4 linked regions of the Anolis sagrei genome follow. The protein of the gene in region 2 purifies or fractionates together with the protein of the main gene of each other region. This does not show direct contact. Links are inferred from orthologs where the notes say so. Each region holds a gene or a part of one and is shown on either strand. Other genes may lie near its edges.

Region 1 (8,517 bases), on a different chromosome or scaffold from region 2:
TAGCCATCCCCTGCCACGCATTGCTGTGGCCCAGTCTGTGTATATGTGTTTTTGTGTGTGTGTATATTTGTGTATATGTGTATATGTGTGTGTTTGCATATATATGTGGTTTTGCGTATGCATTATAATGTAATTTTTAATTTTTTTTTGCTTTTAAAGTCCCTTCCACTGTGTTTTTTAGTGTTTTTATGAGTGATGGACACTTGTTGACCTGATAGGTGTATTGTGTCCAAATTTGGTGTCAATTCGTCTAGTGGTTTTTGAGTTATGTTAATCCCATAAACAAGCATCATTTTTATTTATATAAATACCAAATTTGCCAAGGGGCCCCTGGTGGTGCAGTGGGTTAAAGCGCTGAGCTGCTGAGCTTGTTGACTGAAACGTCGCAGGTTCGAATCTTGGAGAGGCGTGAGCTCCCTCTGTCAGCCCCAGCTTCTGCCAATCTAGCAGTTTGAAAACATGCAAATGTGAGATCAATAGGTACCTAACGGCGTTCCATGCAGTCATGCCGGCCACATGACCATGGAGATGTCTACGGACAACACTGGCTCTTTGGCTTAGAAATGGAGATGAGCACCACACCCCAGAGTTGGACATGACTGGACTTAATGTGAGGGGAAAACCTTTACCTTTACCTTATTACCAAGTTTGCCTACCTGCGTGATCACATTTCCGTTTATGAACCCACGCATTCTCTTCGCTCATCCGGAGAGGCCCTGCTTGCGATCCCACCTGCGTCGCAAGCGCATTTGGTGGGGACGAGGGACAGGGCCTTGTCTGTGGTAGCCCCCTGACTTTGGAACACCCTCCCCAAAGACATCAGACAAGCCTCTGCGTTGGCAGTCTTTAGGAAGAGTTTGAAGACCTGGCTGTTCTGATGTCCCCTTCCAGAATAGGAACTCCAGCAATATGTCCCAGAAGCACTTTATCAGAGTTTTAAGATGGTCTGCACATTGCACTTACCCTAAAATCCTACATCCACCTATCACACCCAGCACTTTTTAATCTGTACCCATTACATTTGGCCCGGCCCTAGTTTTATTGTGTCGTGGTGTATTGTTTTTATTGTTCACTGCTATTGTTTTATTGTTTGATTTGCTTTAAGTTATGTGTTTTTGTTATGCTGTTGTTTTATTGAGGCCTTGGCCTGTGTAAGCCGCATAGAGTCCTTGGGGAGATGCTAGATAGGTAGGTAAAGGTTGTCCCCTGACATTAAGTCCAGTCATGTCTGACTCTGGGGTGTGGTACTCATCTCCATTTCTAAGCCGAAGAGCCAGCGTCAGGCCTGTAGCGAGGGGTGGGTTTTAGGGGTTCAACCCCCCCCCGAAATGTTTCAGATATTTTTAAAAAAACCTGGTTTACTCATGAATTTTAAATGGTTAATCAAATCCCCATGCTAAGTCTATGAGATGCAAAAAAATTAAGTCCCTCCAGAACTGCAAGCACTATCTAAAGAAAATATTGACAATTTATTCACACTGTCATTACTTGCAGCAATAGCCAATGTAGTGAAGCAACCAAGTTGGGGGGGGGAGGGGTTGAATGCTCTCATTAAAGATGATGGTACTCACCTTTAAGGCCTTGCATGGTCTGGGGCCGATGTACCTGAGAGACCGCCTCACCCCCTACCAACCCCAGAGATCCCTCCATTCTGAGGACCAAGATTTGTTGGAAATTCCCAGCGTCAAGACCTTGCGTCTAATAGCAATCAGACGCAGAGCCTTTACAGCAGTGGCACCATCACTCTGGAATACTCTGCCATCTGAAGTCCATGCCTTGCGGGACTTATTTATTTATTTATTTATTTATTGCGCTTATATACCACAATTCTCAGCCCCCAAGGGCGACTCATCAGATTTCCGCAGGGCATGTAAGACATATCTGTTTCGACAGGCCTTTGATTTTTTGATATTGCTGTTTTTAAATTGTTTTAAATTGTTTTTAAATTGTGTTAGATTTTAGCCATTCTTGTAAGCCGCTCCAAGCCCCAGGAGAGTGGCAGCACATAAATTCAAATAATAAATAAATAAAATAAGGAGGCCAGACTTGGTGGAGGTGGTTGACAGGGGCGGAGCTGCAGGCTATTGAAGGCTGCTCTGCCCCCTGCTGTGCTCCTTGCTTCAGCGTGAGCTAGGAGGCAGATTTCAACCCCCCCCCCCCCCCGAAAATTTCAACCCCTCCCGAAAATTTTTTCTGGCTACGGCCCTGGCCAGGTGTTGTCCATAGACACTTCCAAGGTCATGTGGCCAGCATGACCGCATGGAGCGCCGTTACCTATTGATCTACTCACATTTGCATGTTTTCAAACTGCTAGGCTGACAGAAGCTAGGGCTGAAAGCAGAAGCTCACGCAATAATAAAATACAATACAACTGTTTGGTTCGCTCCTGACACGATAAATAATCCATACTATAAATAGTAAAGTTAAAATCAGTTTAAAATTTCCTGTAGGATCATAAAGTGGTTTGTTAAAGGCTATTTCAAATGGAAAAGTTTTCACAATGGCATCAGATTATCTGGCAGTGTGGACTCATATAATCCAGCTTAAAGCAGATATCTGGGTTCAGATCCTGAGGTATAGAGCACTCAAATAACCCAGTTCAAAGCAGATATTGGGAGATTTTCTGCCTTCTAGGTTATATGGGTGTGTGGAAGGGCCCCATGAAAGCCTTGGAGATCATACTATTGCTCGGCTTGATTCCTTTCCAGCCTTTGAGCCTCGTTGGCTGGCCCCGCCCCCTCGGCTTTGGCCCCGCCCCCTTCTCCTCGGCGGAGGAGAGGCCACCTGTGGGACCGGGAACAAAACAAAGTTCGGACCTGCGTTTCTCTGGAGGGGAGGGGGGCTGGCTGTGCTCCTTCCCAGCAGGCAGCGCGCGGCAGGTAACGGGGCGCGCGCCACCTGAGCGCCTCTCTCGCTTGCTCTGAGGTAACAAAGCCAGGAAGGCCTCCCGCCACCACCACACGCCCCCAGGCTCCACTCACCTCCGCTCTCCCTTCGAGGCTGCCACCGGTTGCAGCGCTCGCAGCCGGACCCCTCCTCTTCCCCGCGGTCGGCTTCTCCTTCTCCGTCGGGGTTTCCCTCCGGCGCCTCCACAGGCACCACGGTGAAGCTGGTGGGCATGGTGGCCGAGCCAGGAGTCCGCCCGCCAGCCCTTCTTTCTTTCCTTCCTTCCCTTTTCCTGCAACCGCGGCGGGAAGGCAACAGGGGCGGCCTTTTCTTCCCCGCCCTCTTTGTCTAGGAGTCTCTCCCTCTGGGCGGGAAGAAGAAGAGGAGGAGGAGGAGGAAGGCCCCACCACCGCCGCCGCGCCTTCTTCCCGCACTCACGCCTCTGACTCACGGACTTTCTTTCGCAAAGAAGGAGAAGTCCTCGCGCGCGGCCCCCCCTCCGCGCCATTGGCCAATGGGCTCCTCCAATGGCGAGGCTGGGTTTCACAAGAATGGCCCATTCTTCTCCTGTGCTCCAAGCATGAAGAGCTCAGAGAAGTCGCACACCTGGAAGGGACTCCCTCTCTCTTTCAGGCAAGGGCAGACTTCCTCCCTCCAGGTATTTTGGACTTCCAAATCCCGACCCATGCCTGAAAGCCAAAGTTTGTATTGAGGGGGACTCCTGAGAACGTGCAGAGTGCAGGCCCCATCAGTATGTACCAATGTGGGTGATTTTTGTTCATTCGTTCAGTCGTCTCCGACTCTTCGTGACCTCATAGACCACCCCACGCCAGAGCTCCCTGTCGGCCGTCACCATCCCCAGCTCCTTCAAGGTCAGTCGGCCATCAGAGTGGTGTCATTTGCATATCTGAGGTTGTTAATGTTTCTTCCAGCAATTTTCACCCCAGCTTTGCATTCATCAAGCCCCCCACATCGCATGATGTGTTCTGCATACAAGTTAAAAAGGTTGGGTGAGAGTATGCAGCCTTGCCGTACACCTTTCCCAATCTTGAACCAGTCTGTTGTTCCGTGGTCAGTTCTGACTGTTGCTCCTTGGTCCTTGTACAGATTCCTCAGGAGAGAGACAAGGTGGCTTGGGATGCCCATCCCACCAAGAACTTGCCACAATTTATTATGATCCACACAGTCAAAGGCTTTAGAATAGTCAATGAAGCAGAAGTAGATGTTTTTCTGAAACTCCCAGCCTTTCTCCATTATCCAGCGGATATTGGCAATCTGGTCTCTCATTCCTTTGCCTTTTCTAAACCCAGCTTGAACATCTGGCAACTCTCGCTCCATGTATTGCTGGAGTCTTCCTTGCAGGATCTTGAGCATTACCTTACTGGGATGAGAAATAAGGGCCACTGTACGGAAGTTTGAGCAGTCTTTCGCATTTCCCTTTTTTGGTATGGGGATATAAGTTGATTTTTTCCAGTCTGATGGCCATTCTTGTGTTTTCCATATTTGCTGGCATATGGCATGCATCACCTTGACAGCATCATCTTTTAAGATTTTAAACAGTTCAGCTGGGATCCCGTCGTCTCCTGCTGCCTTGTTGTTAGCAGTGCTTCTTAAGGCCCATTCAACCTCACTCCTCAGGATGTCTGGTTCTAATTCATTGACCACACTGTCAAAACTATCCTCGATATTATTATTACCGCATCCCAAAAGTGCTGTGAACTCCACAAATGATGGCTCCGAACCAAACTCGACAAATGATGGATTCAAACCTGAGCATTAGGAAGAACTTCCTAACTGGGTTGTTGTAGGTTTTCCGAGCTATATGGCCATGTTCTAGAGGCATTTTCTCCTGACGTTTCGCCTGCATCTATGGCAAGCATGCTCAGAGGTAGTGAGGTCTGTTGGAAGTAGGGAAATGGGTTTGTATATCTGTGGAAAGACCAGGGTGGGACAAAGGACTTTTGTCTGCTGCAGCTAGGTGTGAATGTTTCAACAACCCAGTGATTCCGGCCATGAAAAACTTCCTAACTGTTACAGTTTTTCACCATCACCTTAGTGGCTGATTTTTGCACCCTGAACTTCTTTAGATGAGGAGAAACAATGTGCCTCCACTCTTTTGACTGCTTCTGGAGCCAATATTCCAGAAGACAGGAACAGAATTCAAATTAGAGAGATGGGCCAAAACTAACAAAATGAAGTTCAACAGGGACAAATGCAAGATACTCCACTTAGGCAGAAAAAAATGAAATGCAAAGATACAGAATGGGGCTCAAAAGCAGTACATGTGAAAAAGATCTTGGAATCCTTGTGGACTACAAGTTAAACATGAGCCAACAATGTGATGCGGCGGCTAAAAAAGCAATGGGATTTTGGCCTGCATCAACAGGAGTATAGTGTTTAGATCCAGGGAAGTCATGCTACCCTTCTCTTCTGCCTTGGTTAGACCACACCTGGAATATTGTGTCCAATTCTGGACACCACAGTTGAAGAGAGATGTTGACAAGCTGGAATGTGTCCAGAGGGAGGCAACTAAAATGATCAAGGGTCTGGAGAACAAGCCCTATGAGGAGCGGATTAAAGAGCTGGGCATATTTAGCCGTGATAATTTTAGTCGGCCTCCTCTGGACACATTCCAGCTTGTTAACATCTCTCAGACCACACCTGGAATATTGGGCACTGCAATTGAAGGGAGATGTTGACATGCTGGAATGTGTCCAGAGGAGGAGGACTGAAATGATCAAGGGTCTGGAAAACAAGCTTTATGAGGAGCAGCTTAAAGAGCTGGGCGTGTTTAGCCTGCAGAAGAGAAGGCTGAGAAGAGAAATGATGAGGACCATGTATAAATATGTGAGGAGAAGTCATAGGGAAGGGGGAGCAGGCATGTTTTCTGCTGCCCTGGAGACTAGGATGTGGAACAATGGCTTCAAATACAGAAAAGGACATTCCACCTGAACCTTAGCAAGAACTTCCTAACTGTGAGAGCTGCTCAGCAGTGGAACTCTCTGTGGTGGAGGTTCCTTTGGAGCCTTTAAAACAGGCTGGAAGGCCATCTGTCAGGGATGCTTTGAATACAATTTTCTTGCTTCTTGGCAGAGAGTTGAATTGGATGGCCCTCGGGGTCTCTTCCAACTCTATAATTATATGATGTGCTGGGTTTGACTCCAGAACCCTCTTTTTATGGTCCTTCAAGTTGTTGTTAATTTATGGTTGGAACATAAAGAAGAGTAAGAGAAAAATGCACCTTTAAGCATAAGAAGGGTAAGAGAAAATGCATCTTTAAGCATATCCAAACACACATGGAAGAGTCTGCTGTTATCTATCTCTTAGGAAGAGGAGGAGGAGGGAAAGGAAGGGAGGAGAAGGAAAAAAGGAGAAAAGAAGGGAAGAAAAGGGAGGAAGGGTAAAGAAGAGAGGGAAAGGAATGAGTGAAGTGTATGAGCGGAAGCAAGAGAAGGAGGAAAGAAAGGAAGAAAAGAGTGGGAGAATATATATGATGGAGGCAGGAGAATATATATGATGGAGGGATAGAGCTACAAAGGCAAGATCAACACTGCCCTATACCCCAGGATCTGATACCAGATTATCTGCTTTGAATTGGATTATATGAGTCTACAGTGCTAGATAATCTGGGATAATCAGATAATCTGGGATCAGATCCTGGAATATAGGGCAGTGTAGATCCAGCCAAAGAGAGCCTGCCTATTGTTGCCAGAGCATTGGCATGGAGACATTGTGAGGTAAGCCTTCTCAGAGCTGGAGAAGAGAGAAAGCAGGCAGGCAACGCCCCTCCAACACCTGGACAACATTTTATAATAAAGACTATCAGTCAATGAACCTTATGCAACTCCAGCATTTCATTTACAGTGAGCCCTTGGCATCCACTGGGTTGGTTCCAGGTGCCTTCAAGTCATTTCTAATTTATGGTGACTCTAAGGTGAACCTATCACAATTTTTCTGGGGCTGAGAGTGTGTGACCTGCCCAAGATCATCCAGCTACTGGGAACTGAACACTGGTTTCCAGAGTTGTAGCATGACATTCATATCTGTGGATACCAACATTTACAGATTCTCAACTCACATTATCCGGAATAGCAACCTTCATGTAAAATGATAAACAACTCAATTGAGTGCCAGAGAGGGCCCAAGAAGTTGTAATGGTTGAATGCTGCAGTAGGGTATGCCTGAACATCAACATAGTTCTCAGCGCATGAAAAAAAATTGGCATTTGCGTTGGGATTTTTCCCCCCCAAATATTTTCAAGCCATGGTTGGTTGAATCAGTGGATGCAGAACTTCTAAATATGAAGAGCTGACCATGTCTTATACAATGGATGAGGCTATAAATTGCTACTTTGTGGTGGCTTTTCTGTGGCATTACCATATCTTATATCGCCAGTGATTCCTCCTCTGTGTGCATGAAGATTGTTTGTACCATACAGGAACCTGTGGCTGATTCTCAAAGTAGCAATACGGACAGTCAAAAAACATGCTATGCAGGCTTGACAACCAATAGCAATTAAAAGTTTATGTTCTATCTAAATACCAAATGAAAGTATTGATTTTATTTAACCTTGCTTTATATTTGTCAGTAAAATTAATATGTGATCCACATTTATAAATTACATTTCTGTCTTTGTGAAGGGCTCATGCTTTAAAATTCAGGATTTTTTCCTCTTGTTTAGAGGAAAAAGAGAAAGCTGTGTACACAACACATAGGGATAAAAGTGCTACTGATAAGCAGCAATGTGAGCAATGCTAAAGAGTGATAGTGAAGTTTAAGGGAGTTGAAGGGTTAAAACAGAACAAGCAGAAAGGACTCCGATAAGCAGTAACATCACTGTAATCAATTACTGAGCCCTTGCCTTTCCCTTGAAATAACTACTAACATTATGTTGATTTATTTTTGAAGGATTCGTTTTCTGCAACCAAGTAGGACTCAGAGATGTTCTGTTAAATATAAAATTGGGCAGCAGCACATACAATGAAAGGCACTGAGCTAACCTTTAAACATAAGATAGCAGCTATTCTAAAACTGGCTTGGCTGCTGAAAGATTTTCAAGTGTTCCAAGTTAAGATGATAATACCAGCAGCAGTTTTGTCATTCCTGGTTTGCATTCTTGAATTCGCAAAGATTGCTCAAAGTCTAACATATAGCAGTTGTTTATTTACAGATGGCATGTGTCTTTGTTAATATTTTACTTGTAAAATTTGTACTTCATTTATTTTTTTCTGTTATATAATCCAGTATGCCAAAAGTGTTAGAACAATTTAAATACAAAAAATACAAGTCATCAACAACACACACAAAACCAAATGAAATAAGATTTGCTCCAAAAAGTAAACACTTTGGAAGAGCAAAGGCATGGCAAAGACTATCATTATAGGCACTTGAATTGTGCTGTGAACATTAAATACAGCTATATTGGGTTCATACATTTGGAGAAAATTGGGAAATGGAAAATATTCTTGGGAGTGTGTGGATCACAATAAATTGTGGCAAGTTCTTGTTGGTATGGGCATACCAAATCACCCTGTCTCTCTCTTGAGGAATCTGTATAAGCACCAAGTAGCAACAGTAAGAACTGACCATGGAACAACAGACTGGTTCAAGATTGGGAAAGGCATATGACAG
Region 2 (7,571 bases):
GGACAGATTAATTTTGCAAGGCATGTGCCTATTGTTCCGCTCTTCTACATTGTTTGCTGCATGTCTTCAAATAGTTTCCAACTTACAGAGACCCTCCAGCAAAATTATCACATGGTTTCCTTGGCTAGAATTGTTTGAAATCTGGTTGCCTTTGCTGTCTTCTGAGGCGGAGAGAGTGCACTGCATCATAGTGAACCTGAGCATGTACGAAGTGCCATTTCCACCACCATAGACAGACCGAGCCATTTGCAATTGTTGTGAGCCTTCAAAACATTTCCAACCTATAATGATCTGATTGCAGGATTTTCATGGCAAGAGCATTCTGAACACTACCAACAATAGAATTTGGCCAAACTTCCTACACAGAACCTCCATGACCAACAGAAAATACTGTGTTTTCTGGTGGTCTTTGGTGACCCCTCTGACACCCCCTCGTGACCCCTCCAGGGGTCCTGACCCCCAGGTTGAGAAACACTGATCTATATAAATAAATTAATGAACATTATGGCAAAATTCATTCACAAAACCTGAGAGTCTATCTTTCCTCTTGCAGGGATCTGGCCATTTGACAGATTACCAGCCCAAACTAGGATAAGGGAGGGTTTCCTTTGATATGAAACCCTAAGGCAGCACTATTAGGAAGTTTTCTTAGCAAGAATATGTCAGAAGCTTTTCCTTGCCACAAATCCTGAGAGCTTATCCCTCCTCTTGCAGGGATTTGGCCATTGATCGATAATGAGCCAGGGATTTGGCCATTGATTGATAATGGAGTCTGGGTTCTCAACCCGAAAAAGATCGCATTCTTTCAGAATTAGCAGATTGAAAACTGGGGAAGACTCCTCTTGCTTCCCTGCTTTTGGGGACTTCTGTACCTTTAATGCAGTCCTGGGCAAGCTTGGGCCCTCCAGGTGTTTTTGGACTTCAACTCCCACAATTCCTAACAGCCGCTGGGCTGTTAGGAACTGTGGGAGTTGAAGTCCAAAACACCTGGAGGGCCCAAGCTTGCCCAGGCCTGCTATAGAGTTAGAAGTTCTTCCTAAGGTTCTTAAAAGCAAACTAGTCCAATGTGGACGAGGCAATTCTATTAGGAAGTTTTCTTAGCAAGAATAGATCAGAAGCCTTTCGTTTCCACAAATCCTGAGAGCTTATCTCTCCTCTTGCAGGGATTTGGCAATTGATTGATAATGAGCCACAACCAGAGGGCAAAGAGGGTTCCTTTGCACCAAACCATAAGTGAGTTTTCGTGGCAAGATTGGCTCCAAAGTCTTTCCTTGTCACAAAACCTAAGAACTTACCTTTCCTCTTGCAGGGATCTGCCCAGCCACAACCAGGATCATAGGCTCATTTGATGCCAAACTCTAAAGCATGGGATTGTTTTGGAAGAATTGGTTCCGAAGTCTTTTCCTTGTCATAAAACCTGAGAGCTTACCTTTCCTCTTACAGTGTTTTTCCATTAATGGTCTAACAATAAAACCTTGGTGGGACAGAGGTCCTTTTATGTCAAAATTTAAGATTTTCTTGCTTCCAAAGTCTTATCTTGTTCTAAAGCCAGGATGCTTACCTCTCCTCTTGCAGGGATCTGGCCATTGATGGCTGATCGATCAACCTCTTTGGTGCCAAACCTTAAACTATGGAATTTTCTTGGCAAAATTGGTTCCAAAGTCTTCCCTCGGTCACAAATCCTGAGCTTTTCCTTATAGCAAAACCTGAGTTCTTTCTTTTCCTCTTGCAAGGATCTGGCCATTGATGGCTGATCGATCAACCCCAAAAGCATGGGATTTTCTTGGCAAAATTGGTTCCAAAGCCTTCTTTCGGTCACAAATCCTAAGAGTGTTTCCTTATAGCAAAACCTGAGTGCTTTCTTTTCCTCTTGCAGGGATCTGGCGCTTAATAGGTGATCAGCCATAATTTGGGAAACAGTGGGGTATCCTTTAGTGCCAAACCTGAAGGTGATACTTTTTCTTGTCACAAAGCTGAAAGCTTATCTTTCATCTTGCAGGGATCTGGCTAAATTGATAGCTCATAAATCAAACCATGGGGTTTTTTTTGGGGGGGGGGGTACTTTGGTGCTCAAGGCAGCATTTTCATGGCAAGATTGGCTCAGAAGCCTTTCCATGCCAAAAAGCCTGAGTGTTTACCTTTCATCTTTCAAGCATTTGAGTACTGAGGAATCTTTGGTAACAAACTCAACAGTGCTTTTATTGGCCACTATGGCCACATCATGAGGAGTCAGCAAAGCCTAGAGAAGACAATTATGCTGGGGAAAGTGGAAGGCAAAAGGAAGAGGGGCTGATCAAGGGCAAGATGGATGGATGGCACCCTTGAAGTGACTGGACTGACCTTGAAGGAGCTGGGGTTGGTGACGGCCGACAGGGAGCTCTGGCGTGGGCTGGTCCATGAGGTCACAAAGAGTCGGAGACGACTGAACGAATGAACAACATGGTTCAGAAGGAAATCCTTGTCATAAAACTGGAGCGTTTGCAGGGTTAGATCATTAATCGCAACCAGAGGGAGTGGGTCTTTTGGTGCAAAACCCTATCAAGATGTGACATGTTACGAAGCCTGAAGACTTATCTTTCCTGTTGGAGGGATCTGGCTAATGGATAGATCAACACAATTTATCCAAATTTATAGATAGATGAATCTGTCAGGGTTGGCTTGATGCACCTTCCTCTTGGCCTGTTTCTCCTTTTCGCTCTCCATTCATGCCTCTTCGAATTCTGCAGCACTACTGGTCACAGCTGACCTCCAGTTATAGCGCTCAATTCGAAGAATTCGAAAAGGCACGAATGAAGGACGAAAGGGAGAAACGTGCCAAGAGGAAGGCACGTCAAGCCAACTCTGACTGGGACTGCCTTCCATCTGGAAACTGATGTCCTCGCTGCATAAGAACATGCGTATCAGGAATAGGGCTCCACAGCCACCTATGGACCCACCACCAAGACACTCCACTTGGAGGACCATCATCCTCGGGCTACGAGGGATCGCCTAACTAATTAAGAAAGACATTAATTATAGAAAAGCTATAGCCAAATGTGCTTACAGCAAGATGTCCCTCCTGCAGAGAACAAAGTTTTGGCAATTTAATAAACTTTGTCCATGTTTTTAAGGATAGAACCAATTAGGAAATGATATTAATAGCCCAGTAACAAATATTGTGTTGTATAAGTGTCACCAGCCACAAGCAGAGGGAAGTTTGTTTTGGTGCCAAACTTGAGATTTCCTGGGAAGAATGGGTGCAGAAAAAAGCCTTTCCTTGTCACAAAGCCTGAAGGCTTACCTTTCCCCTTGCAGGGATCTAGCCATAAGGTGGTTCAAAGGCAAAGAGGGTCCCTTGGGTGCCAGGCATTGGAGGGAGGCCACCTTACCCCTCATTCTCCTTGAGACATCCCAGGGAGAAAGGGTTCAGAAAGAAGCCTTTCCTTGCCGCAAAGCCTGAAGGCTTACCTTTCCCCTTGCAGGGATCTAACCATTGAGTGGTCCAAAGGCAGAGGGGAGACCCTTTAGTACCAGGCATTGGAGGGAGGCCACCTTACCCCCTCATTGTCCTTGAGATTTCCTGGGGAGAAAGGGTTCAGAAAGAAGTCTTTCCTTGTCGCAAAGCCTGAAGGCTTACCTTTCCCCTTGCAGGGATCTAACCATTGAGTGGTTCAAAGGCAGAGGTGAGACCCTTTAGTACCAGGCATTGGAGGGAGGCCACCTTACCCCCTCATTTTCCTCGAGATTTCCTGGGGAGAAAGGGTTCAGGAGGAAGCCTTTCCTTGTCTCAAAACCTGAAGGCTTACATTTCCGCTTGCAGGGATCTAACCATAAGGTAGTTCAAAATCAGAGGGGAGACCCCTTGGTACCAGGCACTGGAGGGAGGCCACCTTACCCTCCCCTCCCTCATTCTCTTTGAGATTTCCTGCTAAGAAAGGTTTCAGAAAGAAGCCTTTCCTTGTCGCGAAGCCTGAAGGCTTACTTTTCTCCTTGCAGGGATTTAGCCATAAGGTGGTTCAAAGGCAAAGGAGGTCCCTTAGGTGCCAGGCATTGGAGGGAGGCCACCTTACCCCCTCATTCTCCTTGAGACTTCCTGGGGAGAAAGTATTCAGAAAGAAGTTTTTCCTTGTCGCAAAGCCTAAATGCTTACCTTTCCCCTTGCAAGGATCTAACCATTGAGTGGTTCAAAGGCAGAGGGGAGACCCTTTAGTACCAGGCATTGGAGGGAGGCCACTTTAGCCCCTCATTCTCCTTGAGATTTCCTGGGAAGAAAGGTTTCAGAAAGCAGCCCCTCCTTGTCTCAAAGCCTGAAGGCTTACCTTTCCCCTTGCAGGGATCTAACCACTGAGTGGTTCAAAGGCAGAGGGGAGACCCCTTGATACCAGGCACTGAAGGGAGGCCACCTTACCCCCTCGTTCTCCTTTTCCTCCCCTGCATCTGAGTGAGCACCTCCTCCTTGGGTGGGGCGGTCCCGCGTGGGGCGGTCTCGGGTGGGGCTTGGCTATTTGAGCGCCTCCAGCCTTTCCCTGTTGCTTCAGCCCGTCTTTGGCGACCGAGGAGAACTCTTCGTCCACTAGTGACAGACACCCAGGTAGACCCACCCAGGTAAGGAGCCAAGGAGGGAATGGGGTGGCTTCTTGGCCTCTGGGTTCTCAACCCGAAAAAGGTCGCATTCTTTCAGATTGAAAACTTGGGAAAATCTCCTCTTGCTTCCCTACTTTTAGGGACTTTTGTACCTTTAATGCAGGCGTGGGCAAGCTTGGGCCCTCCAGGTGTTTTGGACTTCAACTCCCACAATTCCTAACAGCCGGTAGGCTGTTAGGAATTGTGGGAGTTGAAGTCCAAAACACCTGGAGGGCCCAAGCTTGCCCAGGCTTGCATTAAAGGTACAGAAGTCCCTAAAAGTAAAGGAAGCAAGTGGAGTCTTGGCTCCTAAGCCTTTCCTTGTCACAAAACCTAAGAACCTAGCTTTCCTCTTGCAAGGATCTGCCCATCCACAACCAGGATAATAGGCTCATTTGATGCCAAACCCTAAAGCATGGGATTGTTTTGGAAGAATTGGTTAAGAAGCCACAAAACCTGAGAGCTTACCTTTCCTCTTACGGTGTTTTTCCATTAATGGTCTATCAATAAAACCATGGTGGGACAGAGGTCCTTTTATGTCAAAATTTAAGATTTTCCTGGTTCCGAAGTCTTATCTCGTCCTAAAGCCAGGGTGCTTACCTTTCCTCTTGCAGGGATCTGGCCATTGATAGCCGATTGATCAACCCCTTTGGTGCCAAACCCTAAAGCATGGAATTTTCTTGGCAAACTTGGTTCAAACGTCTTTCCTTGGTCACAAATCCTGAGAGCGTTTCCATATAGCAAAACCTGAGTGGTTTCTTTTCCTCTTGCAGGGATCTGGCACTTAATAGGTGATCAGCCATAATTTGGGAAACGGTGGGGTATCCTTTAGTGCCAAACCTGGTAATACCATTCCTTGTCACAAAGTTGAAAGCTTATCTTTCATCATGCAGGGATCTGGCCAAATTGATAGTTCGATCGACTCCTTTAGTGCCAAACCCTAAAGCATGGAATTTTCTTGGCAAACTTGGTTCAAACGTCTTTCCTCGGTCACAAATCCTGAGAGCGTTTCCATATAGCAAAACCTGAGTGCTTTCTTTTCCTCTTGCAGGGATCTGGCGCTTGACAGGTGATTGGCCATAATTTGGGGAAAGGGTGGGGTGTCCTTTAGTGCCAAACCTGAAGGTGATACTTTTCCTTGTCACAAAGCTGAAAGCTTATCTTTCATCTTGCAGGGATCTGGCTATTGATGGCTGTTCAATCAACCCCTTTGGTGCCAAACCCTAAAAGCATGGGATTTTCTTGGCAAACTTCGTTCAAAAGTCTTTCCTTGGTCACAAATCCTGAGAGCGTTTCCTTATAGCAAAACCTAAGTGCTTTCTTTTCCTCTTGCAGGGATCTGGCACTTGACAGGTGATCGGCCATAATTTGGGGAAAGGGTGGGGTGTCCTTTAGTGCCAAACCCGAAGATGATACTTTTTCTTATCACAAAGGTGAAAGCTTATCTTTCATCATGCAGGGATGTGGCCAAATTGGTAGTTCATAAATCAAATCATGGTTTTCCTCTTGAAGGGATCTGACGCTTGACAGGTGGTCGGCCATAATTTGGGGGAAAGGGTGGGGTATCCTTTAGTGCCAAACCCAAAGGTGATACTTTTCCTTATCACAAAGCCAAAAGCTTATCTTTCATCTTGCAGGGATCTGGTCAAATTGGTAGTTCGTAAATCAAATCATCGTTTTCCTCTTGCAGAGATCTGGTGCTTGACAGGTGGTTGGCCATAATTTGGGGAAAGAGTGCGGTATCCTTTAGTGCCAAACGCAAAGGTGATACTTTTTCTTGTCACAAAGCCAAAAGCTTATCTTTCATCATGCAGGAATCTGGCACTTGACAGGTGATCAGCCATAATTTGGGGAAAGGGTGGGGTATCCTTTAGTGCCAAACCCAAAGATGATACTTTTCCTTGTCATGAAGCTGAAAGCTTATCTTTCATCTTGCAGGGATCTGGCCAAATTGGTAGCTCATAAATTAAATCATCGTGGGGCGTGGGGGGGGGGGGGATCCTTGGTGCTTAAGGTGGTATTTTCATGGCAAGATTGGCTCAGAAGCCTTTCCGTGAATCTTATTTCCTGCTTTTAAACCCATTGCAAGCTTGCTAATTCCTCCTCAATGGGATTTCCCTTCCAATATTTAAACCTGGCTCTCGTGCTTCCCTTTCACGCTTCCCTTTCTTCAAGGTAAACCTATCCAACACCCTAATAAGCCCCTTGTCATTGGGATTCATAGTTTCCACACCTTGTTGGTCATCTTTCTCCTTGTTAAATATTTAAAACTGGGGAGAGTTCCTTTTTCCATTCATGTCTGTGCAGAAGAGGAAATATTCCCTTTCCCATGCTTTTAAATTAGACTAATACATAAACACATAGATAAAAACCAATATATACATATGTCCATAAACAGATTTTCCACCAATACATACATTGCTATATACATTCCTGCCATTTACATACACATAAAAACCCCAGTGATTGGTTCACCTTAAGGGAAGTCATGGTATTTTGCCTTGGTCAGGCCACACCTGGAATCACACTATGTCCAATTCTGGGCACCATTGACTATAAGCTGGGATGTGTCCAGAGGAGGGTGGCACAAAAATCAAGGGTCTGGAAAACAAGCCCTACGAGGAGCGGCTTAAAGAGCTGGGCATGTTTAGCCTGCATAAGAGAAGACTCAGAGGAGACATGATGAGGGCCAGGCATAAATAGGCGAGGGGAAGTCATAGGGAGGAAAGAGCAAGCTTATTTTCTGCTGCCCTGAAGACTAGGACACAATGGAAAAATGGCTTCAGACTACAGGAAAGGAGAGCCCACCTGAACAAGAGGAAGAACTCCCTAACTATAAGGAGAGCTGTTCAGCAGTGGAACTCTCTGCCCTGGAGTGTGGTGGAGGCTCCTTCTTTGCAGGCTTTTAAGCAGAGGCTGGATGGCCATCTGTCTGGAGGGGTTGGAATGTGATCTTCCTGCTTCTTGGC
Region 3 (7,505 bases), on a different chromosome or scaffold from region 2:
CTCACCAAGCTTTCTTCAAACTAAATGGTACAAAAACTCAATAGCCTAGTTGAAGTTCTGGAGAACATTTTTTTTTTTTTTGGCATTTTGGTTGGTAAAGGTAAAGGTTTCCCCTGACGTTAAGTCGATTCATGTCTTACTCTGGGGATGGTGCTCATCTCCACTTCTAAGCTGAAGAGCTGGCTCTGACACACTTTCTAGGTCATGTGGCCAGCATGACTGCATGGAGCGCTGTTACCTTCCTGCAGAAGCCGTACCTATTGATCTACTCACATTTGCATTTTTTCGAACTGCCAGGTTGGCTGGAGCAGGGCTAACAGTGGGTTAACCTGCTCCCTTGATTTGAACCACCAACTTTCAGCAACTCAGCGGTTTAAACTGTTGCGCCACCCAGGTTGGTACTCTTAACAAATTATTGACCAAGTACACACTTTATTTTTCCTTGTAACCCACCAAAGTTACTTTTGCTTTTTAAGGGGATTCTAAGCTTTCCAGGCAATAATCCCAAATGATTAAATCCATGGAAAAGGTCAATACGAAAATATTTTGGAGCAAACTGAAAACTTGTGTGGTCTTCTGGTCTTCCCAGACTTTTCTATCAACAAATAGTTTTAAAAATTAATATCATAATCTTCTGCTGTCATTTAGAAAGTAAATTCTCCTGAGTTCAGTGGTGTATATTCCCAGGAGTGTAAGGTTACAACCTAAAACAATGTGTTCATTATGAATGTACCCATGGAAAGAGACTGGAGCCCTGAACAGATGTGTCACTGCGTACACTTCCATTTCTTTAAATGAGTTCCAAACTAGGATGGGTAGGAAAGGAACACAATAAAAGAGCTGATATGATTAATACTGCACTTGAATACATCACAGATCGGGGTGGTGGTGGTAGTAGTAGTAGTAGTGTCAGGTGTAATTGGAGGACATTGAATAAAAGTAAGCAGGCACTGGAAACATAAAAAATTGTAAAACCATTCATTCATGTTTCATCTGTTGAATAACAAAGTTACAGTGATTATTTTATTTTCTAAATGTAAACACAAATGCAAGTTATAACTCTTTCATTGTCAAGTCCATTGGTAGGTTATAATAAGCAAGCATTGGCAGGCAAGCATGCCATGGATTGTCAGTAAACTGTGCATGTTCTGACTTGATTACAATATGATATTATAAACAGGCAACACATATGAAATCTAATTCTGATTGTTTTTGAATTATATTACAGTTAACAATAGTGCAAATTTTAATTCATGCTGTTGACAAAGATAGAACCAAACATTAATGAACTGATAGCAGAACATCAGGTTTATCATTCTGATTAGATTTTTTTTTAAAAAAAACTTTTAATTTAATATTACCTTCTTTAAGTGAACAGAAGCAAATTTGCATTCTTTTATCTATCTCTACTTCTACATATGTCCTACAACATAGTACAGGAAGATGTAAATAAGACACCTTGAAGCCTGAAGTTATACAATTGTGTATTAAAATCAACCTAATAACATTCATATTACACACTGTCTGCTTCATTCAGAAAAATGCTGCACTCGCAGAGCTCAGGCGGTGTTGTATTTCAGTGTCAATGTTGACTTTTGTGGAGAGGTGGCTGCCAAGGTCCACTGGCTGCCATTTATTTTCCGAGCCCAATTTAAGGTGCAGGTGCTTACCTACAAAGCCCTGAACGGTTTGGGACCACCCTACCTGCGTGACCGTATCGTTGTCTACGAACCCACACGTTCACTCCAATCATCTGGAGAGACCCTGCTCGTGATCCCGCCCGCATCACAAGCGCGCTTGGTGGGGACACGAGACAGGGCCTTCTCTGTGGTGGCCCCCCGCCTCTGGAATGCCCTCCCGAAAGACCTCAGACAAGCCCCTACATTGGCAGTCTTCAGAAAGAATTTGAAAACTTGGCTGTTCCAATGTGCCTTTTCAGACTAGGAACCCCAGTACCAAATCCCAGAAGCACTTTAGTTAGAACCAAGATCACCGCACACCGCACTTATATTATAATCCCATATCCCTCCGACACATCAGCACTTTTAACCCTGTACCCCCACTCTGGCCGGCTCAGTTTTAATAATGTCTTGTTGTACTGCTATTGTTATTGTTCTTGCTTAACTGTTTATTTGCTAGGTACTGTATTGTTGTATTGTGTGGGCTTCGGCCTGTTGTAAGCCACATCGAATCCCTTGGGAGATGCTAGCGGGGTACAAATAAAGTTATAATAATAATAATAATAAGGTAGCAGAAATGTTACACCATTAAGCTGTATTTCTGGCATTGCAGAGGGATTGGCTGGTGACTGCTGGAAGAACTGGGCGGCGGCCTTCTCATCGCCTCCACTGCTCCCCGCTTCTTCCTCAGAGGCCCCTTGGGCGCCGTTGACGCCACTGCCAGGCTGTGATGGGGCCTGATCTTCCACACTCCGCGCTGAGGCCTCACAAGCGGGAAGAAACAGAGGCCCAGCCCAGAGACATGCCCCAGGGTAAGGCCCAGCGCCTGGCTCCCCCTCCTCCCCGTGGCTCCCAAGGTAAGAAAAAACCTGTGAAACAGCAAGCCTGCAATAAGCAAACTGCGAAGTAGAGGGGGAACACTGTACATGGTCTAAGAGGTGCCAATGCTTTGATCAGGTGTGCTTCCATGATGTCTTAAGCTTGCTTTTCTGGCAGAAGTGTGTTTGTGATTCAAGTGTAGATACACCCTGGGATGTATTCCCAGCTTATACAGGGTGAGGCAGCATAACTTCCTTTTTTCAAAATTTAATAAAACCCATTGTATGAATCAGAATTTATTTATTTTTTTACAATGTCGGCGCATTCCTAATAAAATTTTTAAATGTAGTTTTGAAGATCAAATTAGGTAGGTGACGTCCCCCATTCTCCATACACTGAGTAATCCGATTTCTAGCTTTTTTCATGACTCTTGCCAGCATAGCAGGTGTTATGTTAGCAATTTCTTCCTGGATGTTGGTCTTCAAATCTTGTAGGGTCCTTGGACGGTTCACATAAACACGGAATTTCAAAAAACCCCATAGAAAAAAATCACAAGGGGCCAAATCTGGAATGGGCCGGCCACTCCAAATCCGCTCAAAAAGTAGGCCTCAACGGCAAAAGCGCGCTCCTGACTGTTCCAATGCATGATGGCGACTGAACTGTGTCAGAACAAAACTTTATAATCCCGCCTCTTGAATGAGACCACTAGAGCTCCGCTACATCTTCAACCAACTGAATGGCGCACATTTTAAAAAGGAAGTTATGCTGCCTCACCCTGTATGTGACCAACTCAGGCATGGACAAAGTTTTTGCCTTGGGCTGCATAGTGGGCCTGACCGAGAGGGTGGGTGTGCCAGGCCGGGAGAGGGCATGTGAGAGGGCGGGGCCATGAGGGGGCGGGGAAGGGCCCAGGTCAACCTCAGATTGTCCTCTTGACATAATTTTTATTTATAACCACATACACCAAAATAGAAACAAAACTACAACTGGATTGTTGTAGGTTTTTCGGGCTATATGGCCATGTTCTAGAGGCATTCTCTCCTGACGTTTCGCCTGCATCTATGGCAAGCATCCTCAGAAGTAGTGAGCCCGAAAAAACCTACAACCCAGTGATTCCGACCATGAAAGCCTTCGACAATACATAAAACCCACATTTGGGAGGCATAGCAGTTAAACTTGTATCTAACTGCATTCATTCTACAGTGTAGCTGCACCCAAGGTTTGCTCTTGGGATTTTCAAGGAATATTTTGAAACACTGGGTGCAGAATCCGTGGATACAGAGGCCTGGCTGTACATGGCTGTGAGGTAATTTTTTTTCCAATTAGGGGACATGATTCCATTTCAACCCTTGTTGAAGGTTAAGCATAAGCATCTCAGAAGAGCACATTTAGCAAGAGGTCGGTTGCCATCCTATAATAAAAGGTCTTCAGGCAGCAGCAACACGATGCTGGAGGGCCGGCCTCGAGGCACGCGCTTTGCTCGGAAGGAAGGAAGGAAAAGGAAGGAAGCTCCCGCAGGCACGAAAGAGAAAAGGAGCAACAGCTGCGCGCCTCCTCGCGAGATTTGGGCCTTGACAGTTGAAGCGGCGTCAAACTGTATTCATCCAGCAGTCTAGACTAGGCACGGGCCAGCTTCGGCCCTCCGAGTGCTTTGGACTTCAGCTCCCACAATTCCTAACAGCCTGGCTAGATGCACCCTTGAAAGCGAAGAACGATGGGTGGGAGGTGCTTCCGTCTCTTCCTGCCTCTGCCGCCGCCTCGGGCAACTCCTAGAGGCGCCGGCATCCGCTCCACTCCGCCCGGTCCAAACTCCGCCTTCCTTCTATCTCTCTTTTTCTCTCCCTCCCCTTCCCTCTCACGGCGGATGCTTTAAAGCTCCGAGCCGCCCCTAGAAGCAGGCCATTGGCTGGGCTGGCAGCCGGGCCGCGTTCTCTTTTTTGCCGGTTGTTTTTGCCTTGTATCGGGCGCCCGGCTGGGCTGTTTGTACTGAGAGAGAGAGAGAGAGAAAGAAGAAAGCCAGGGAAAGGCAGGCAGCCGCGGGAGGCACGGAAACACAAGCTAGGGCGCGCGAGCCGGGCAAGGGAAGAAGGCAGGCGAGAGGCAGGGAAACAGACTGGTGCGCGCGAGCCGTGCAAAAGGGAGGAGGCGTGAGCAAGGCAGGGAAACACAGACTAGGGCGCGCGAGCCGGGCGAGGGAAAAAGGCAGGCGAGAGGCAGGGAAACAGACTGGTGCGCGGGAGCCGTAAAAAAAAGGGAGGGAGGCGCGAGCAAGGCAGGGAAACACTCACAGAGAGGCGCGCGAGAGAGGCAGGGAAACACACAGCCTGGGGCGCGCGAGCCGGGGGAAGGAGGCGCGCGCGAGAGAGAGAGGCAGGGGAACGGAGACTGGGGTGCGCAAGCCAGGCAAAGGAGGCAGGCGCGCGCGAGAGAAGCTGGGAAACAGGCAAGGAAGGGAGGGGGGCAGGCGCGCGCGCGAGAGAGAGAGAGGAAGGGAAACACACACAAGAGACTGGGGCGCGCGAGGCAGGGAAACAGACTGCGCGCGAGGGGGCGTGACGTCACCACGTTTTTTCTCTCTCTCTCTCTCTTCCCCTCAGAGTGAAGTTAGCGCGCGCGAGGGAGGGAGAAGGAAGAAGGCGAGGCGAGCGAAAGGAGGGAGGGAGGCCGGCCTCTCTGGTTTCCCCCGCATCCTGCCTCCATTTCTCCTCAGGCGAGCGTCAAAGCGGGAGCATCCTCTCTTCCTCCCTTCTCTCTCTCTCTCCACCTGGCGCAGAGGCGGAGGGAAAGCCGAGAAAGGGGCCGGGCTTGGGCTTTTTTTCCGCTCTTGCCCGCCCTCAGAGGCGTTGTCTCCCGGAGTGCGGCATCACTAGAAACAGAAGCAGCAACGGCTGCTCCGCTTAAAGCGCCCAGGCACAGCCTTGCGCCCTTTCTCGTTCCCCTCGCGGAGCAGCCGCAGCAGCCGCAGCCAACATGGAAGGGAAGGCGCCTCACACTCCTCCTCCGGCGAGGCTCAAGGCTGCACCCGAAGCTGCCCGGGAGGACGCCGCCGCCGAGGAAGACCCTTCTGCTGCCTCTTTGGGGCGGCCCTTGGGACCCACGCCGAGCCAGAGCCGCTTCCAAGTGGACTTAGTGGCGGAAAACGCCGCCAAAGAGGGGAAGGGGAAGGAGGAAGAGGAAGCGGCGGCCCCGAGAGCGAAGAAGGACGCCAAAGGCGACGGCGAGGAAGCCAAGGGCCGGTTCCGGGTGAACTTCGTGGACCCTTCTTCGGCCGCGGACGATGGCTCGGGAGACGTCGGGATCGGGCTGGAAGGGTGCAACGTCAGCTTCCAAAACGGCGGCGACACGGTGCTGAGCGAAGGCAGCCTCCACTCGGGCTCCCATCACCACTACTACTACGACACGCACACCAACACCTACTACATGCGCACCTTCGGGCACAACACCATCGACGCCGTGCCCAGGATCGACTACTACCGGCACACGGCCGCCGGCCTGGGAGAGAAGCTCATCCGGCCCAGTCTGGCCGAGCTCCACGACGAGCTGGACAAGGTGAGAGAGACGCCGCTTTGGCCCATCCGCACAGCCACGCGTTCTCCTTTGGGACGCAGTGATGCAGGAGTGACTGCGCTGAAAGGGCCTTCTCCTGGGACCTTTTCCTTCTGTAGGGAGGCCAGGTGTTTGGGATTCAACTCCCAGGAGACTCAACAGCTGGAGGAGCCCACTTTGGGAAACGCTTGGTTGTGGAAAGGAACCCATTGGATAATGCAAGCATGGCCAACTTTGGCCCTCCATGTGTTTTGGACTTCAACTCCCACCATTCCTAACAGCCTCAGGCCCTTTCCTTTTCCCCCTCAGCCGCTTAAGCGGCTGAGGGGGAAAAGGAAGGGGCCTGAGGCTGTTAGGAATGGTGGGAGTTGAAGTCCAAAACACATGGAGGGCCAAAGTTGTCCCATGCCCTGGGCAACAGAAACCATGACACTTTCAGCGATTCCCAAACTGGTCTTCTAGGCTTCAACTCTGAGGAGATTCAACTGTCTATCTCCATTGCCATTGTTAAAGGCCCTGCTCTCGGTCCCACCACCTTTGCAGTGGGGATGAGTGACGGGGCCTTCTCAGTGGTGGCCCCTTGGCTGTGGAATTCCCTCCCTAGTGGAATTGGATTGGCCCCTTTCCCTCCTGTTGTTTCGCAAACAAGTGAAAACTCGGCTTTGGAAGCAAGCCCAATACAATTATCTGTGCAATACAGTTGGAATTGACCCTGGATTGATGAATATGATTGTCTGATTATCTGGCTTTGGCTCTATGCATAATAGTTGTCTGTCAGAGGTGCTTTGAATGCAATTTTCCTGCCTCTTGGCAGGGGGTTGGACTGCATGACCCACAAGATCTCTTCCAACTCTATGATTGTAATGTTTACATATGTTCAATGTATTGTTGAAGGCTTTCATGGCCAGAATCACTGGGCTGTTGTAGGTTTTTTGGGCTGTATGGCCATCTTCCAGAAGCATTCTCTCTTGATGTTTCTCCTGCATCTATGGGAAGCATCCTTTCACAACCTCTTCAGCAGGGGTCCTCAAACTTTTTAAATAGAGGGCCATGTCAGAGTCCCTCAAACTCTTGGAGGGCCGGATTATAATTTGAAAAAAAAACATGAATGAATTCTGCACATATCTTATTTGTAGTGCAAAAAACACTTAACAACAATACAATAATTAAAATGAAGAACAATTTTAACAAATATAGACATATTCGTATTTCAATGGGAAGTGTGGGCCTGCTTTTGGCTGATGAGATAGGATTGTTGTTGTTGTTGTGTGCTTTCAAGTCGTTTCAGACTTAGGTTGACCCTGAGCGAGGACTGTGTAAATGACCTTGGAGGGCCGTATCCGCCCCCCGGGCCTTCGTTTGAGGACCCCTGCTCTTGAGGATTCCTGCCATAGATGCAGGTGAAATGTCAGGAGATAATGCTTCTGAAACATGGCCGTACAGCCCGAAAAACCTACAACA
Region 4 (8,169 bases), on a different chromosome or scaffold from region 2:
AGCAAACCACTGACCACCTGCTGCAATGCAACCTGAGCCCTGCCACATGCATGATGGAGGACCTTCTTGCGGCAACACCAGAGGCACTCCAAGTGGCCAGATATTGGTCAAAGGACATTTAATCAGCTACCAAGTTTGCAAAATTTGTGGGTTTTTTTAAATCTGTTTGTTTGTTTTTGTTCTGTTAGAAATGTAATACAACGTTCTGGTTGCGGATGACACGATAAATAAATAAATAGCCTCCAGTTTGCTAGCAAGACTAAATGACTGTGGCCCCTTCCACACAGCTGAATAAAACCCCACATTATCTGTTTTGAACTGGGATATATGGCATTGTGGACTCAGATAACCCAGTTCAAAGCAGATATTGTGGGTTATTCTACCTTGCTATTCTGGGTTATATGGCTGTGTGGAAGGGCCCTGTGTCAACAAATGATGCTTTTCGTTATTACAATTTATGTATGCGTTTCTGTCGCGACATCATGAATGTCTAACAAGTGTGTCACCAACAGGAAATGTTTGGAAAGCTTTGATCTATGACATGTTTATCCAATTTCATCAATCCAAGTGACAGTCAGGAAATCCGTCTGCTTGACTGGTTCCCACAGCAACGTGCAATCTCATTCGAAGGGCCCTTCCAAACAGCCCTATATCCCAGAATATCAAGGCAGAAAATCCCACATTATTTGAGTGTGGGCTCAGATAACTCAGTGCAAAGCAGATATTGTGGGATTTTCCGCCTTGATATTCTGGGTTATATGGCTGTGTGGAAGGGCCCTAAGAGCAAGGCAGTGGGGGTAATACCCTATTTACTCAAATCTAATGCTCACCTTTTCGACTAAATTACCTTCCCAAATTAGAGTGTGCATTAGGTCATCATAGGGCCCTTCCACACAGCCGTACAACCCAGAACATCAAGGCAGAAAATCCCACAAGTTCTTTTTTGAATTGGGTTATCTGAGTCCACACTGCCATATATTCCAGTTCAAAGCAGAAAATGTGAGATTTTATTCAGCTGTGTGGAAGGGGCCTTAGTGCTGAGCCAATGCAAAAGGGGAAGCAGCTTCAGGAACTGCACCCAGAGCTCTTATTTGGGGAATATTATCTCTAATTTATTTGCCATGCCTCAATGTTATGTAATCCTGGGATGTGTAGTTTGGTGAGGCATTGGTCTTCTTTGGCAGAAAAGGCTCAAGACCTTGTAGAACTTCAGCTCCATGATTCCATAGCACTGAACCAGGGCAATTACAGTGGATTCTTTCCATACCATCGATGCAGCCTGAGGTTTTCTTTTCCATTTTTAGAAGTTTTGGCGTTCTAACACTTCTGTTTTTATAGAAGGAATCCTAATCAGGCAGCAACTACAACGGCCAAATGACAAAGGCCCCTTCCACACAGCTGAATAAAATCCCACATTTTCTGCTTTGAAGTGGAATATATGACAGTGTGGACTCAGGGCCCTTCCACACAGCCCTATATCCCAGAATATCAAGGCAGAAAATCCCACATTATCTGAGTGTGGACTTAGATAACCCAGTTCAAAGCAGATATTGTGGGATTTTCTATCATGATATTCTGGGATATAGAGCTGTGCGGAAGGGCCCTGGGTTATCTGAGTCCACACTGCCATATATTCTAGTTCAAAGCAGATATTGTGGGTGTTTTCTGCCTTGATATTCTGGGGGCTCTCCCACACAGCCCTATATCCCAGGATATCAGGGCAGAAAATCGCACAATATCTGCTTTGAACTGGGATATCGGAGTCCACACTCAGATGTGGGATTTTCTGCCTTTGATATTCTGGGATACAGGGCTGTGTGGAAGGGCCCTCAGACAACACACTTCAAAGAAGATATTATGGGATTTTCAGCCTTGATATTCTGGGTTATTTGGCTGTGTGGAACGGCCCAAAGACTGCACATTACATTCAGCTACAAATACTTTTTTTGGTTTCGGGGTTTCGAAAATGAAGGTGCGCATTAGATTCGATGGCGCATGAGACTTGTGGAATTGTGGTACTCAACCTGATCGGCTCCGAAGGGTGTGATGTTGGCCTTGACCGACCCGACGCTGATGCCCACAAGCACCAGGCCAATGAAGGTGGCAGCGAGGCAATAGCGGGTGGCTCCCTCCAGCTGGCACGGCGGCGATGTCACGTTGGTGTCCAGAGGTGCAGAGCAGTTCTCCACGGGCCATGGGTGCATTTCGCCGCAGAGCCACTGCCGGGTGGTGGGGAAGGCCATGGCCGGGAAGGCCAGCATCCCCAGCAGGTACAAGGCCATGCTGACCAAGATGGTGGGGAATTTGCCTAGCAGGGCATCTGCCAGCCAGCCCCCAAAGGGAGACACGAGGTAGGTGATGCCCATGAAGAGCAGCAAAGCCTGGCTGGCCTGGGCCCCCTCCCAGTTGTACGGGGTGCCATTGAGGAAGAGCACCAGGTTGCACGTGATGCCGTAGAAGGCCACCCTCTCCAGCAGCTCAGCCAGGAGCACCGCCGCACACGCCAAGCGCCGCCCGTGGAACACGGAAGAGGACCCCACAGGTGAGCGGGCCTGCTCTCCAAGGAGGGGGCTCCGCTCACTCGCCTGGGCCTCTTCCATGGGGATGATGGGTGATGAAACCCTCAAGGCTTGGCCCGGCTTCAAGGTCAAGGCGACTGAGTTACAACAACTTCCAGAAAGTATTCGAACAGACCTCCAACTTTGAGTCTCTCCTGCTGTGTCCCCAAGACCCTACTGCCCACTGTCTTGAGGGTTCTAGGAGTCAGCAACCTCCCCTTTGGCCAATCTCTGACCTTTCTCCCTCCCAGTCCACTCAACACAGATCAAACTCGTTTAGGGGTTCCAAGGCTGCCCCTTCTTAGAGTCCCAGCCCCTCCCAATGCCTCCGGGCCTCCAAACTCAGCCCAATTTTAGCTGCCCCGCCCGGGATTCGAACTCGCGGAAAAGCTGGTGGGAATCTGAATCTTCCGGGCCCTTCCTACGCGCGCGCCCCCTCCCCCTGATCTAAGTGAATCCCCGCTTTGCCTGCCGTTCCCTAGACCCTCGCTTCCTCCCTCGGGGGCAGCGGCGACGAACTTCTCTCTCTCTCTCTCTCCGCGCTTGGAATGCCCAGGTTCCCTGGAGAGCCCGCCTCCTCCGAAGCGCGGCTCCGCTCTCTGATTGGCCGCTCCGCGCGTCTTTCAAGCCCGGGAGGCTCTTCCAGGTCCAGGCCTCACGTGGTGAACAGCTGCGAAAGAGGTCCTTTGTGGAGGGGGCTGGGGAAGGGGCCAGGGCCCAAAGGGCTGCCATCACCAGCCACGGCGACCGGCCTGCTCGAGGGACACCAAACGTAGGAGGAAACTATGACTGGGAGGGCACTATATCTTCTCCTACGTTTTCTGTCCAACTACCAGGCCGGTTGCAGTGGCTTGTTTTTCCAGACAGGCCCTTTTATCCCAGGCCCCTTCCACACAGCTGAATCAAATCCCACATTAATTGCTTTGGACTGGAATATCTGGCAGTGTGGACTCCGATAACTCAGTTCAAAGCAGACATTGTGGGATTTTCTCCCTGGATAGTCTGGGTTATATGGCTTCGTGGAAGGACCCTGAAGCAGCATCTATTTATTTATGTATTTATTTACTATACTTGTATACAGCCTCTCTCAGCCCGGAGGCAACTCGAGACGGTTTACATTTGGCAATCAATGCCCCACAAGATAAAATACAGTAAAAAACAATTACATATAGTATAAACCATATAAAAAAAATTAACAATTAAAACCATAAAATACAGTTCTCAGCGTCTCATCATTAGAATCATTTTCCGTTGCATCGTCCTGTCGTTCCATGAGTCTCAATCAGTTATACTTTGTCTGCAAATGCCTGCTCAAACAGCCAGGTCTTAACTCTCTTTTGAAATGTCGGGAGGGAGGAGGCCAATCTAATGTCCCTAGGGAGGGCTTCCCATAGTCGGGGGGCCACCACTGAGAAGGCCCTTTCTCTCGTTCCCACCAATCAGATCTGCGAAGAAGGCGAGACCAAGAGCAGGGCCTCTCCAGATGATCTTAAACACCTAGATGGTTCATAGGAAGAGATGTGTTCAGACAGGTAAACTGGGCCAGAACCTTTTAGGGCTTTAAAGGCTAAAGCCAGCACTTTGAATTGTGCCTGGTAGCAAACTGGCAGCCATTGGAGTTGTGCGCTCCCTGAGTGCCGCTCCTGTTAACAACCTGGCTGCTGTCCGTTGGACCAACTGAAGCTTCTGAACAGTCTTCAAAGGCAGCCCCACCTAGAGAGCATTGCAGTAGTCTATACAGGATGTAACGAGAGCATGGACTACCATGGCCAATTCAGACTTCCCAAGGTATGGGCGCAGCTGGTGCACAAGTTTTACTGTGTGAATGCTCCCCTGATCACCGCCAAAACCTGGGGTTCCAAGCTCAGCGATGAGTCCAGGATCACATCCAAGCTGCAAACCTGCATCTTCAGGGGGAGTGTAACCCCATCCAACATAGGCATCTATTCTATATTTCAGCAGTTGTCCAGTATCTTATGCCTTTCTTCTCACCTCCTTCCTGATAGTATTTACTTGGAAATGTCAGGGATCAAACCCAGGTCTACCTGCCTCCAAATCAAGTTCTCTACCTGGGGTGGAACTTGTGACTTCCAGAAGTTTCACACGTTAGTCCCAGAAGCCCCACCCAATGGTGTGGGATGGCGGGGGTGTTGTCCAAAGGATCCAGAGGACAAAATGGTCCACAGTTCCCTTACTGATTATTCAGTTCCCTGTGATCAATTGCCGCTCCACTTTCTCTGCCATTGATGTCCCTCCATGTCAATAATATTGCCCAACATGGGTCTCCACCCCATCCGTGTGAGATTACTCATATTCTGACATGTGAAAAGACAAGGCTACAACCTCAGCAGTTATTTTTCTATGTTCACAGAGTTGTTTTTGAACCCCATCTGAAGCTGGAATGGTTTAACCAAGCGCCCTTCCACACAGCCCTGTATGCCAGAATATCAAGGCAGAAAATCCCACATTATCTGCTTTGAACTGGAATATATGGCACTGTGGACTCAGATAACCCAGGGCTGGTTGGTTAGAGTCGGAACGACCTTTCCTGGGCTTTGTTTCAGCGGGGAGGCGGCTGGCGGGTTGGACGACAGCGTCCGTGGTTGCCATGGCTGCAGACGCGGCGCCCTACCCACAACCCTTTGAGCCGACAGGTGGCTTCCGGCGCCGCTGAAAAGGGGGAAAGAAGGTCACGCGACGCCGCCCGGAAGTAGGGCAAGAGGTGCAGGGACAGAGCTATGCGCGTGTTACTCCTGGCCAGTTTGCGAGCCCGGACGGGGAATGGCACCACCGCTCAGAGGATCCAGTAAGTGCCATCCTGGCTGAAGGCAGCGGTTCTCCGTTCAGCTCAGCAGCCTAAGTCCCATCTCAAAGTCCTAGCGTTGGAGGAGACCCCAAAGGGCCATACAGTCCATCCCCTTCTGCCAGGCAGGAAAAGCACAATCCAAGCACCGACAGGTGGCCATCCAGCTTCTGCTTAATCACATCCAAAGAAGGACTCCGAGGCAGAGAGTTCCACTGTTGAACAGCTCTTCTCACAGTCAGGATGTTCTTCCTAATGTTCACGTGGAATCTCCTTCACTGTCGTTGGAACTCTCGGCTCCATTGAGTCCTAGGGCCCTTCCACACAACCCTATATCCCAGAATATCAAGGCAGAAAATCCCACAATATATGCTTTGAACTGGGTTATCTGAGTCCACACTCAGATAATGTGGGATTTTCTGCTTTGATATGCTGGGATATAGGGCTGTGTAGAAGGGCCCTAGGGCCCTGTCCACACAACCAAAGGTAAAGTTAAAGGTTTTCCCCTGACATTAAGACCATGTCCAACTGGGGTTTGGTGCTCATCTCCATTTCTAAGCCGAAGAGCTGATGTTGTCCGTAGACACCCCCAAGATCATGTGGCCGGCATGACTGCATGGCATGCCGTTACCTTCCTGCTGGAGCAGTACCTATTGATCTCACATTTGCATGTTTTCGAACTGCTAGGCTGGCAGAAGTTGGGGCTAACAGTGGGAGCTCACGCTGCCTCTTGAATTCGAACCTGCGACCTTTTGGTCAGCAAGTTCAGCAGCTGAGCGCTTTAACCCATTGCTCCACCGGGGGCTCCTCCACACAGCCATATAACCAAAAATATCAAAGCAGAAAATGCCATAATATCTGCTTTGAACCGGAATATATGGCAGTGTGGGCTCAGATAACCCAGTTCAAAGCAGACATTGTGAGATTTTATACAGCTCTGTGGAAGGTGCCATAGGGGCAGTGTGGAAGGGTCCAGTGTGGAATCAGGGCCCTTCCATAACAACAACAACAACAATTTTTATACCCCGCTTCCATCTCCCTGAAGGGACTCAGGGTGGCATACATAGGGACAATCCCAGAAAAACATAGGTTAAAACATGACGCAATAAAATAAAATAAAAAATAAAATCAAAATAAACCAAAATAAAATAAACACTTCATCTCCCAGAAATCCTAACAGCTGGTAAACTGGCTGGAATTTCTGAGAGTTGTACGCCAAAACACCTTGGGACCCACAGGTTGAGAACTCCTGGTCTAGATCAAGGGAAGTCATGGTGCCCCTCTCTTCTGCTTTGGTCAGATCTCACCTGGAATAACAACCCAATTCTGTGTGAAGCAATTCAGGAAGGATATGGACAAGATGGAATGTAATTCTTTGAGTTTAAGACTCGGGGGGGGGGGGGTGTTCTTATAATGAAGGTTCCATTAATTCCGACCAGAAAGAAAGTAAAGTTTACTTTTCTCTCCATCTGTTGCCCTTGTATAAGATGGTTTTGCATGTTTAGTCCTTAATATTTGATAAGATTATGAGAGCTCTTCAACAGTGGAACTCTTTGCCTCAGAGTCTGGCGGAGGCTCCTTCTTTAGAGACTTTTAAGCAGAAGCTGGATAGCTGTCTGTTGGGGGTGCTTTGATAGTGCTTTTACTGGATAGCAGGGAGCTGGTCTAGATAGCCCATGTGGTCTCTTCCAACTCTATGATTCTAAAAGGAGTCCTTAAATGTACTCCTGTGAGGAGGAATTTGAGGAAGTTACTACTGAAAGGTCTCACTCTTATCTTAAGAGTGGGTTTGCATGCAGATCTTTGTAGCAAGCCCATACAAGAGCAGGAAGTGTTTTAAATAGCTTGGTTACAAAGTATTTAATGCAGTTAATACTTGCAGAAAGTATTTAAAACAGCCTAGTTACAAAGTCAAGAATGATTGACAACTGGAAAATAGAGGGAGAAAATGTGGAGGCCGTGACAGACTTTGTATTTCTAGGTGCAAAGATTACTGCAGATGCAGACTGTGGCCAGGAAATCAGAAGACACTTACTTCTTGGGAGGAGAGCAATGTCCAATCTCGATAAAATAGTAAAGAGTAGAGACATCACACTGGCAACAAAGATCCGCCTAGTCAAAGCCATGGCATTCCCTGTAGTAACCTACGGATGTGAGAGCTGGACCTTAGGGAAGGCTGAGCGAAGGAAGATAGATGCTTTTGAACTGTGGTGTTGGAGGAAAGTTCTGAGAGTGCCTTGGAATGCGAGAAGATCCAACCAGTCCATCCTCCAGGAAATAAAGCCCGACTGCTCATTGGAGGGAAGGATACTAGAGACAAAGTTGAAGTACTTTGGCCACATCATGAGGAGACAGCAAAACCTAGAGAAGACAATTATGCTGGGGAAAGTGGAAGGTAAAAGGAAGAGAGGCCGACCAAGGGCAAGATGGATGGATGGCATCCTTGAAGTGACTGGACTGACCTTGAAGGAGCTGGGGGTGGTGACGGCCGCCAGGGAGCTCTGGCGTGGGCTGGTCCATGAGGTCACGAAGAGTCGGAGACGACTGAACGAATGAACAACAACAAACAAGTTACAAAGTATTTATGGCATCAAAGTAACTATTTTGTAACCAAACTGCTTAAAATGTTTTCTGTAAAGTATGAAGCACCAGTGTCATCCTGGAAATTCTGCAGCCTCGCTTCCCAACATGTGATACAGAACAAGCCCTGTGTCCACAGGACCAGTATTCATGGTTTCATATACATACTCGTCCAAAAATATGTTCTTTGGGCATTTTCTGGGTCTTCCAGTGCAAGACTATGGTCTT

Evidence for each region.
Region 1: the proteins of LGALS3 (region 2) and SLC12A7 purify together in Homo sapiens (affinity purification with mass spectrometry; 3 studies listed by BioGRID and IntAct, counting the BioPlex papers as one, with this or other methods). This does not show direct contact. The link is inferred for Anolis sagrei from reciprocal best matches to the Homo sapiens genes LGALS3 and SLC12A7.
Region 3: the proteins of LGALS3 (region 2) and SLC12A2 purify together in Homo sapiens (affinity purification with mass spectrometry; 3 studies listed by BioGRID and IntAct, counting the BioPlex papers as one, with this or other methods). This does not show direct contact. The link is inferred for Anolis sagrei from reciprocal best matches to the Homo sapiens genes LGALS3 and SLC12A2.
Region 4: the proteins of LGALS3 (region 2) and SLC15A4 purify together in Homo sapiens (affinity purification with mass spectrometry; 3 studies listed by BioGRID and IntAct, counting the BioPlex papers as one, with this or other methods). This does not show direct contact. The link is inferred for Anolis sagrei from reciprocal best matches to the Homo sapiens genes LGALS3 and SLC15A4.

Annotation. Positions count from the first base shown.
Region 1 is NC_090024.1:105,604,062-105,612,578, forward strand, and holds the start of SLC12A7 (solute carrier family 12 member 7), read right to left. Parts: upstream 3,331-8,517; 5' UTR 3,121-3,330; coding exon 2,982-3,120; intron 1-2,981. UniProt on the Homo sapiens protein: Mediates electroneutral potassium-chloride cotransport when activated by cell swelling. May mediate K(+) uptake into Deiters' cells in the cochlea and contribute to K(+) recycling in the inner ear.
Region 2 is NC_090021.1:336,975,517-336,983,087, reverse strand, and holds the start of LGALS3 (galectin-3), read left to right. Parts: upstream 1-4,475; 5' UTR 4,476-4,584; intron 4,585-7,571. UniProt on the Homo sapiens protein: Galactose-specific lectin which binds IgE. May mediate with the alpha-3, beta-1 integrin the stimulation by CSPG4 of endothelial cells migration.
Region 3 is NC_090022.1:237,137,546-237,145,050, reverse strand, and holds the start of SLC12A2 (solute carrier family 12 member 2), read left to right. Parts: upstream 1-4,335; 5' UTR 4,336-5,468; coding exon 5,469-6,047; intron 6,048-7,505. UniProt on the Homo sapiens protein: Cation-chloride cotransporter which mediates the electroneutral transport of chloride, potassium and/or sodium ions across the membrane. Plays a vital role in the regulation of ionic balance and cell volume.
Region 4 is NC_090034.1:38,967,967-38,976,135, reverse strand, and holds the start of SLC15A4 (solute carrier family 15 member 4), read right to left. Parts: upstream 3,145-8,169; 5' UTR 2,601-3,144; coding exon 2,025-2,600; intron 1-2,024. Other genes in the region: GLT1D1 (glycosyltransferase 1 domain-containing protein 1), read left to right, coding at 5,297-5,364. UniProt on the Homo sapiens protein: Proton-coupled amino-acid transporter that mediates the transmembrane transport of L-histidine and some di- and tripeptides from inside the lysosome to the cytosol, and plays a key role in innate immune response.